Caenorhabditis elegans: one gene and its partner. The protein of the gene in region 1 binds, or shares a complex with, the protein of each later gene. Each region holds a gene or a part of one and is shown on either strand. Other genes may lie near its edges.

Region 1 (4,469 bases):
TTTGCGCGTCAAATAAGTTGCGCAATATGCATTCCCGTAATAATGAAGATTCACACTCTGTAAATCTACACAATTTCGGGTCTTCCTCCCTTTGTCCCAATATAGCTGCGTTTCTTCCACCGTTTACACACTGCAGCTGTGTAATATTATTTTCTTCTCACCAGCAGTTCCAAAAACCAATCGAGTATCCATACGAGCTTTCAATGCATCAACGTTCTTCTCATCAACCAGCTTTTGAATTTCATTACGATTCTTATCATTCTTATCCCAAGCGAGCCAATCGGCAACTTGCTTGTCAAGCTTTGCACATCCAAGAGTCATTCTGAAAATTAGAAAGTGCTTAAATTTTGCAATAAAATTGTGGAAAAGACAACAAAAGTTTTAAAAAATCGAAATTTTGCAGATAAGGACACTAATACCACAATTATTCCGACATGTGTGGATGAGAAAAGGCCAGGTAAATGACCTTGCCGTTTCTCTATTTCTCTGCGAGTAACCCACTATCCCTAGATTTGGAAAAGAGATAAAATCAACAATAATTGATGGAGGTATTGTGGAAACTGTGAAAAAGACAGTATCGGGTTTCAGTAAATATTTAATTTTCGAATTTAGGTGAATGTTGAATGCAAAAAGAATTAACAAAAACGTCCAAAAAATATTTCTAGGCACAAAAACCGTTGAAAATTACATAAGTTAGATAAGTGGAATGTTTAATTCTTGCAGAAACCGATCAGCATGAAAAATCTGAAAATTAAACAGAAGATTGATAAAATACTTAAACATCAAAAAAAAATCGGTGATAATGTTCTCGGTTTTCAGTTTTCAGATGATGATAACAAATAATAATACACGCTTTGATAAGAAATCATTCGGAAAAAAAATGATCGGCGAGAAAAAATAGAGAAAAATATCGTTAGAAATAGGTTTTCTCGAGTTGTGATGGAAGACGTTCGGTAGTTTTCGATGAGATGAAGGCGCGAACTTCTTCAGGCGATGGAACGTAGTCGTCGACATTCATCTCACTCAGCTTTACCCATTGGTTCACGAAGAGTGCTGAAAATCAATTTTATTTCATTTTTGACTCTTTTTGATTTTTTCCCAACATTTCCAGGATCTCAGTGTTCCATCCAAGCTCGTCGACGAGATGACTGATCCCATGAGATTATATCGAAGCCTCCATGCTTTTCGATGATCCCCGAGCAGTGCCACCTTGATCAGATTGTAATCCGCCAGCTGAATCGGATTCTCGACACCGTCTTCTTCGAGAATCGCCGAACGAGCCACTTTGATGTTGTAGACGTGAACATCGCCTGATGCAACGGCTAATTGATGCGAATCCACCATCGATATCGGCGAGAATCTGAACATTTTAAATATTATAGTTAAAATAGCGGAAATTTTTTTTTGAAATTTTCAGACAAAAAATTGATAAAATAGCGGATTTTTCAAGAAAATTCGATTTTTTTTGAAATTTTTAGACAAAAATTATTAAAATAGCGAATTTTTCAAGAAAATTCCAATAATTTTTGGAATTTTCAGACAAAAAATTGATAAAACTGCGGACTTTTCCAGAAAATTCAATTTTTTTTGTTGGAATTTTTAGACAAAAAATTGTTAAAATAGCGGATTTTTCAAGAAAATTTTAAATATTTTTTGAATTTTGTTAAAATAGCGGAATTTTCAGAACATTTCAATTATTTTTAAAATTTTCAGGCAAAAAATTGATAAAATTGCGGATTTTTCAAGAAAATACGATTGTTTTTGAAATTTTTAGACACAAATCCGATAAATATCGGATTTTAGAAAATTCGATTATTTTTTGGAATTTCTAGACAAAAAATTATTCAAAGAGCGGATTTTTTAATACTGAAAAATCTGCTATTTTCAATGGAAAGGCAAGCGCGCTGTAATAATTATTCGGCTCCGAGGAGAGCGTGTTCTTCCTACTTCAAATCAGTAATCGGGCATGGTAGATCGAAGACTAATGAGTTGATTCGCTGCCATTTCCTCAATCCATCAATATTCTCATAGATCACAACTCGTTTCTTGTTCTCTGCCTTCTTCTCATCCGAACCAACAGCAATCAACGGGCGGTGCATACGAGAAAGTGACCATGTGACACATCCACATCGGGTATGAAACGCTTGAAGCTCGTGAATAAGATTCCATCGAGAAGCGTCCACAATATCCGGTGCTTCGTAGATTCTGACGGTTCCGAGAACGTTGCATGATGCCATCATGAGACCCAGATGGCGCGGGGAGAAGCAGATATCGGTGACGTCTGAACGATTATCGGAGATGATTGTTCTTCGGATCCATTGGGATTCTTTTTGCTCTGAGAGATACATAATGTTTTGGATTATATTTAGAGCGAATTATACTCACTCAGATCTTTCTCTGATCTCACAATTTGCTCCTCCCAAATTACAATCGTTCTGTCGTAGGAGCAGGTGCTGAAAATCAATCAATAAAGTATATTCGGGTGACAGTTTCTAGTTTCTTACGCAACAATCTGCCCAAATTCCGGATGAGCCCAAATAACGCGCCAAACTGCTCCACCATGACACTGAAATGAGGAAAATTATTTTATTTTCTGAAATTTCTTTTCTACCTTCCAGTGTGCAGATCTACGCCAATTTCCGTCTGGCTTTCGATCCCAAATCGCCATTGTCATATCGCTGGCACATGTTGCCATTCGTCGGCCATGAGGATCGAATGAAACCTGGAAATAAAAATCTTCAGTTTTTATCTAATTTTTCGAAATCAAGCCAACATACACAATGAATGAGATCTCTGTGAGCGCCGACGGTCTGAAAAGGTTTCACCGAGTCGTCTTCTTGCATTTTTCTGAAAATTAATAAATATTTATAGTGAATATTAGAGAAAAATAAGAGAAAAAGAAGAAAAATCGTTGCGTAGAAACAAAAAAATAGATTCAAAATTTAAAGGCGCAGGCACTTTCGCCGGTGGAAGGTCTCGCTAGGAGCGAGTGGTGTAGTCCTCTCGGACAAACGAGAAGATGCGGTAAATGTAAAATTTTTAAATTTAATGTTGGCCTAAATTAATTGCGGCACAATGAATTGATACATTTTAAAGACTTTTCATCCAAATTTTGTTTAATTAATTGTTAGAAATTGCTAAACTGTTCTATTCTAATCGAGGGGGTACGTTTTCGTAAGGGGATTTTTTCGTAAGGAACGCTTTCAGTAGGGCAATGTGCTGCGCGCCTTTTCGCAAGCCCGCCGCACAGTCCTTCGCAATGCGCCGCACGGCTTTTTGCAATGCGCCGCACGCTTCTTCGTATTTATTTATTTCTTTTTCCAACAGGAAATTTCGAACGGAATTCAATTAAAAACGGATTTTTAATGGAAATTAATTAGTTTTATTCGAGCTAAATACGGATATTTTCAGAATTTTCGATGACAAAAACGGGTTGCAATCGATTTCGAATCGATCAAAATTAATATTAATCGAAAATGAGCATTTCCTTCCCGGAAAAAGAAGAACTTGATGCTGAGAGTGATCCAAGCGGAGCCAAACGCTTTTTTAGAGGCAAGTATTGATGTCTAAAGATTAATTGAAGAGTGAAAAGTATTTTTCAGCGTTCGACAGGGATCTAAAGAAGAAAAGAAATCCGAAAGCGTCTACTACAAATGTATGTGAATCGACTCCTGCAACAATCGATCTGGTTACTCCACCTGCATCACCACGTCGGTCTGATTCGTATATGCAGTTTCCTTCAAATTCTCGAGAGCTCGATGAGCCGAGATCCACTGACGATATCCCGGAATGCGATTCAATAGCCAATTCTACTCAGGAAACAAGCTTGGATACAACAGATTCCATGGCAAATACTGAAAGATTTTTTGATTTTGATCCAGCTGTATTTCCCGAAGAAATGGATCACGATCTACAGGAAACCAGTGAATTCAATCTTCTGTGTAGGTCTTAACTAATAATTAAATAGAAATAACAGACGTTGTATTTTTAGGTCACAATTCATATCAATCTCCGTTTGAAGACGAAGAGACTCCATACCATCCGGATTGGTTTTTGACAAATAGGTTGTTATTAATCAATAACTCTATCAAAATATAAAATTCCAGCAAGTCACACGTGTTACGTTCTCTGATGCACTATAGACCGATTGCCAATAGCCCAAGAGGGTGCTTGAAATGGCACCGGAATATATCAGCGAGAATAGTTCAGATTTTTGGTATGCCTTCTAACTTCTAAAACAATTAAACATAGAAACTATGCAATTTCAGTATTTCGACGAAACGAGGAGCTCCATTGGTCATTTTCAACAATCAAAGCTATCGTCCGAGAGAAACACTGAAAAATGGGGACATTGTGGCTAGGTGAATTATCGCTAGGAAAAAATTTTATTTTTTGTCACACATTTCATTAATTTATTTCAGATGTAACGTTACACTGGAAAACTCGAGAAAGTGCCCCGGATCCGTGCG
Region 2 (5,811 bases), on another chromosome or scaffold:
AAGAGCATTCGCCTTTAAATAGAACTGTAATTTCAGAGGCTCATTGCTGCGATTTTATTTTAATCGACTTTTTGAAGTTGTTCGATACCAAATTTAAAATAAATTTATTTTTAAAAAAATTGAAATAAAATAATAGAAACACATACATATAAAACATCGATGAAAATTCTACAGCAGCGACAGTTTGAAATTACATTAATTACAGTGTACTATTTAAACGCGCACACCACTTTACTAACTTTCAGAAATTTGTCGTGTCGAGACCAGATACCTTAATTTTGGCTCAAAAGTTCGCGTCTGGAACAATAGTTCTCTGAAAAAATATATGTAAAGCCAAATGGTACAAATTGAGATTTTTCTGTAAAGTTTACTTTCAATGGAAAGCCTAAAACTAATTGATTTTTAATTGGCATACTATTAGAAATTTGTAAAAATTTTCATTAATTTAAATCTGAACGTTTATCAGCGGCTTTAAACATTTTGAAAATATGCATTAATTTTTTAATAAACGCAAAAAGTTGAAAATATCTGCGTATTTTTTGTTGTAATTCAACATGATGTTCGAAATTCAATACATCTTTTTTTTCTTCTTTCTTATGCTCCTCCTCTCCCACACTATCAAGTTTCGGGGGTCTTCTCTCTCGTTTTTTTTGCAGAACTTGTTCCAAACTCACCTTTTACCATTGCATTTTGTGTTGTCTTTTAACTGAAGTCGGCAGAAAAAAATCCGGTGATCGATTTTGGGAATAGGTGGCGACGATTTTGAAAAGCAGGTATTTAGCGATGAAAATACTCGAAATTAATTTTAACAAATATGATTGATAAACTAAAGATATGAAGCTACTAAATATGGCTCGGTGAGCTGGAAATAGTGGGTGAAGGAGTGGAGAGGCAGAAACAAAGAGAGACGAAAAAGAAGAGGTGCACTACGGCTCCCATGCAAAACTAGCATCTTTTCGTTTTTTTTTTTTGGTTTTCTTGTCGGTTGGTGTAATTGATGTGATGGATTACACTTGAGAAGCCCAAGGAAGGAAGTACCAAAAAAGGGCAAACATTTTTTTACAAGGAATCTTTTTTTTGGTCTATAGTCCCCTTATAAGGACTTTTTAGAGGAGGAGGTGTAGGTTTCTTCCCTAGAAACAGAAAGCAGTCCAACATATTGAATATAACTTTTTAAATAATTTATAGAATTCTCCTGAATTTTTAAAAAAATAACTTTTTCAATTGTTCGAACATAACAAAAATGGACAGGCCGCCAAAGTCCTAGGAGATTGATTGCACAAAGCCGCAAGCTTTTCGTACGAAATAGTGCTCCAGAAATGGTTCCATTCTAGTTATTAAATCAAAACTTTGGTCTATTGTCCTCTCCATATGTTTTTCTCTAATTTGAGTATACAATATACCCTGTTTTGTGTGCATTGAGCCTGTGCATAAGACGAACGATACGAACGGCCCCTCTCCTCCTTACATTCTTATACACAGTCTCAATTCACACAAAACATGTGGTTCAAAGAATATATCCTTATGTAAGTAGCAAACGCAAGCGTAGGAGCACGTATTGATCGATTTATAGACAGTCACAATGCACACAAAACAGATGATTTAGAGGATAGCTGCTACTGGAACGCAAAAATACGATGTGCTTTAAAATAAGAGCTCTCATCAACCCATAACGTCGGCTCTCATTTTTGTTTTTTATAGCTGATTGCACCTTATTAAACAATTTGAAGATGAAAGGCACTACTCGGAAAAGTTTCAAATTGCAATTTCTTCCATTTCTGTGTTTCAAAAAAGTTATGAAAACCTGAATAAACCCCTCTTTTTTGAAAGTCCGCGCATTGTGTTCTCAATGGAGCGCACTACCATTATTTTCGTTTAAGCAAAAATTTTCAAATTTCGAAGGGTTTTCGTCGTGTAAAACGATTTTTTTTTCTGTTTCATGTAGTTTTTAAAACTTTATTTTCCTTTAAAAAAATATTTTTAGCACAATGACAGACTTGTTCGCTTCGGGGGACAATTCTTCCAACTCCTTCGACGACTCTAACGATGAAATCGCGCGCAAAAATGAAACCGCTTTCAAATACACTACAATTTGTGAGTTTAACACTCGATGCGAAAGGAAAACTATTTTAAAAATATATAATTTGCAGTTCACACAAATCTCTCAGAAAAACTGTACCACGAATTATGTGCATTGGCTTTCGGAGAGTTCGATATTCCTCAAGGGCAAATCTCGCCACTTATGTGGACCAGACTTCATGAGGTTTGATTCACTTGAAAAAGGCCTCTGATAAATGTAATATTTTTTCAGATCTATTCAGAAGTAGAAATGCAGACTCGAAAACTTCCTGCAGGATCTAATTATTCCGCCAGTTCACAAAAATACGCGAATGAAGCCGTGCAAATCGCCAGTGTTCTTTCAATTTATACCGCGTTGGCTCATGAATATGATGAGACTGTGGAAGTTTCTTTGCTTAGCAAACTAGTTGTAGAAGATGTGGAGTTTAGAAGGATTTATGTAAGATCTTAGACTTTTTATTCAATTAAACACATAATTTCTAATTTTTTAGGCTCTTCTTCTTTGGAGTGAGAAAGCGATCAGCGAACAGCAATATGAAAAAGGTCTTGGAGACAAAGTTCGGAAACTCGAAGGAATCAAATCTTCTAGAATCAATTCAATGATGGCTTTGAAACGACCAACATTTGGAGCAGCCAATGCTCCAAAAGATGCTTCACTGGATCCAGATGCTCCTGGTACCAAAGAAGATCAAGCTCTCGAGCAAATGGCGATGAACGTTTTCTTCCAATTAATTCGAAGTGGAGAAACTTCCAAAGCTGCGAATTTAGCCATTGATCTAGGAATGGGAGCGATCGGAGCTCAACTTCAGCTTCACTCGATGCTCCGGAACCCACTTGATATTCCACTAGAGGCATCTAAACAGAACTTTGGGGAATATAAAAGATCTCGACGCGCAAAGTACTACCAGATGACACAGAAATTGATAGAACAATCGCAGGGGAGCGAAGATGATGCTTACTGGATGCTGATTTCTGCGATTCGTGGGAATATCCAACCAATGCTAAAAGCTGGAAAGTCAGTGATTGAAAAAGTATGGGCATATGCAAATTCTGCAGTTCTCGCAAGAATTCTTGCCGCCGAGGGAGCCATGACACAGGAAACTATTTCGACGTTGTTCAACGTTCCACTAACTTCAAAATCAATCTTAGATGAGCTGAGATCAGAGGCTGATCGTACCAAAGAAGTATACATCCTACTCCGAGTGATCGATGACATGCTCAATGATGACATTGAAGATCTGTACAAGTTCGCAAATGAAACAGTCGGAGAATTTGTTCCAAATGATAAAAATTGTCAAGTGAACATGCTCGCACTCGACATCTTCTTCCACCTCGTCGCAGTTTCTTATGCGAGTGGTTTCGAACCAAATGACGATGGAAATGCTGTAATTATTCTTGGATTCGATGATCTTCGTGCACGCAGTGGAACCTCATCACACAAGAAAATGGCTGCATTTTATTCAAGATTCCTCCCAGAAGATATGAAGCTTCCAGAGATTGTGGAGACTATGAAAGGTAATTTAAAAACTGATGATGATTTTTAAAAAAATTCTCTTTTCAGCTGTCGATTCTGATGAAGAACGTGAAATCCTGGCTGAGTCGCTGAAACAATCTGACATTGATTTCGGACGCTGTGCGTGCACACTTATTGAGCAAATCAGAAAAGATGACAAAACGAAGGTTGTAACTTTGGAAGAGCAGATTGATCACTGGCATTGGCTTTTGATAGGTGGAGAAGAGACTGCACTGGCTGCTCTTGAAGAATGTAATCGACTAGTTCGTAAAGTGATGCTGTCGACACCGATTGACGAGTCTGTAATTAGGCAAATTATTCGAAAAGCGCTTCATTTCGAAGTTCCTAAGCTATTGTCACAAGCTGTTGAAAATGAAGCAACTGTACTTTCACTGATCACTGATGGAACCCTGTTTGAGCAAAAACCTGGATCGCAGCTGGCAATTAATAAAATCGAACACGCGGCTCTGGAATTTTATGGGCTCTGCTCTTTCGTGGTATGATTTCTTATCCAAATCAGCGGAATCTTTAACCACTGGTTAAAATTACAGTAATCTTTAAAGGTGCAAACCGTCTCGTATTGAACAAAAATTTGTCGTGTCGAGACCCCGTACTCAAAATTTCGCTGCTGAATAATATTCAATTTCATATTGGCCATTTTAAAATCCGAATTTTCAGGATGTGAACAACTTCATGATCACTATTGCTCTGAAACTTGGGCTCATGTTCAAGTACACACCGATCACTGATGATGAGCTTTCCATGATCGGAGGAGTCAAACGACTCGACAACACCACAGCTGCTGACTGGGAAGCTTCACTGAGAGTCCGAGCTCGTGCTGAGCAAACTCTGCGGGAAGAGGTGCTCAAAAAGAGAGCCGCCGAGCATAATACGCGAGTTGGAATGGTTCAACAACATTTAGATGTAGGATTTTTAGAATAAATTGTTGTGAAAAAAATTTTAAAAAATTGAAATTTCAGACTGTTCTTCCGATGCTCCGTGGGCTGGTTAACAATATTGGTGTGCGCCCGGAGTACTTTTTGAGCCCACGTGCTAATGGAGATCCAATGCGTGTACACCGGAAAGAAATTCAGGAGATTCGGAATCTCTTCCTCCCGCAATTCTTCATCCTTCTTGCACAAGCCGCCGTGAGACTCGACGATACCACAAATTTCAACGATTTCTTCACAAGCTTCAATAATGACCTCGGGCTCGATCAGGAATGGATGGTTTTCATCAAAGCTTTCTACGCAGAACTCAATCTCAAAGTCGAATAATTTTTATTTCATTGTTTTTTTGTTTGATACCTGTTTTGATTACCATTTTTTATCACTATATTTCTGACTTCTTTCTCATTTTTTTTAAATTTCCGGTCGATCTTTCACAGACACGATTGTATCCGTGCAGTATTTGAAAATAACAAATTTTTCTGATTTCTGTGGGTTTCACGTGAAGATCTTCTTCAAGAAGAGGTCATCAGATTGCGGAAGATCTATATTACCGATCTGACGCAAGACTACCATGTATATTTGGAAAGGAAAAATTTTCTGTGCAGAGGTTGATGGTTTAAATTTTGATTTAGATATTTTCTTCATTTAATTTGAAAATTTCCATGCCTGAAAATATCCTCAGTGAGGATTCTCACCTACCGTATACTTAAAGGCGCACACCTGTCTCAACCGGAGCGTTGCGAGACCCGCGGCATCAAACTACACACTGTGTTTTGATGATCTTTCGATCGTTCTCGAAAAAAGAAAGAGCAGAGTTCATTAAAACAAATGGCGGCAAAATGTCTATAAAGGCGAGTCGTTCTCTTCATTATCTTTTGATTTTCGATGTGTTCTCCTTATTGTTTTGTTCGTTGACCCCTTATCTGCATTCTCACCGCTACGCAACGTATATTTAACGTCAGCTTTTTCGCAGAAAATTTTTCTATATTCTCATGCAAATTTACTGTTCTCAATGCTGGACGTGTCGCTTGTGCTTTGATCTCAAATCTAACATTTTCCCTTCAAATATTTTATATCTGCAACGGTGGGGCAGAAATTTAAAAGTTGACCTTTGTCAGCCAACTGCTATCAGTTATCAGTTGGCCGGAGATCTTTCTATTTTCACTTTCTTGCAACGTATTCAGACATTTTTTGATGAATCGGTTCACAGAATTTTCGTCCTGATGTTGGTCAGTGATGCGCCAGCCGGAAATTAGAACCGTATGCCGT

What was found.
Region 2: npp-18 (region 1) and npp-5 share a complex: the UniProt entries of both Caenorhabditis elegans proteins name them as parts of the nuclear pore complex.

What each region holds. Positions count from the first base shown.
Region 1 is NC_003281.10:13,295,231-13,299,699, reverse strand, and holds npp-18 (Nucleoporin SEH1), read right to left. Parts: upstream 2,848-4,469; 5' UTR 2,844-2,847; coding exon 2,778-2,843; intron 2,723-2,777; coding exon 2,612-2,722; intron 2,567-2,611; coding exon 2,505-2,566; intron 2,454-2,504; coding exon 2,386-2,453; intron 2,336-2,385; coding exon 1,948-2,335; intron 1,361-1,947; coding exon 1,104-1,360; intron 1,054-1,103; coding exon 914-1,053; 3' UTR 707-913; downstream 1-706. Other genes in the region: pgm-2 (Phosphoglucomutase-2), read right to left, coding at 162-321. UniProt on the Caenorhabditis elegans protein: Probable component of the nuclear pore complex (NPC) which is involved in the trafficking of macromolecules between the cytoplasm and nucleus. As a component of the GATOR complex may function in the amino acid-sensing branch of the TORC1 signaling pathway.
Region 2 is NC_003280.10:11,595,983-11,601,793, reverse strand, and holds npp-5 (Nuclear pore complex protein 5), read left to right. Parts: upstream 1-1,984; 5' UTR 1,985-1,988; coding exon 1,989-2,094; intron 2,095-2,150; coding exon 2,151-2,263; intron 2,264-2,311; coding exon 2,312-2,518; intron 2,519-2,570; coding exon 2,571-3,594; intron 3,595-3,640; coding exon 3,641-4,089; intron 4,090-4,270; coding exon 4,271-4,516; intron 4,517-4,572; coding exon 4,573-4,869; 3' UTR 4,870-5,027; downstream 5,028-5,811. UniProt on the Caenorhabditis elegans protein: Involved in kinetochore assembly and chromosome segregation during embryonic mitosis.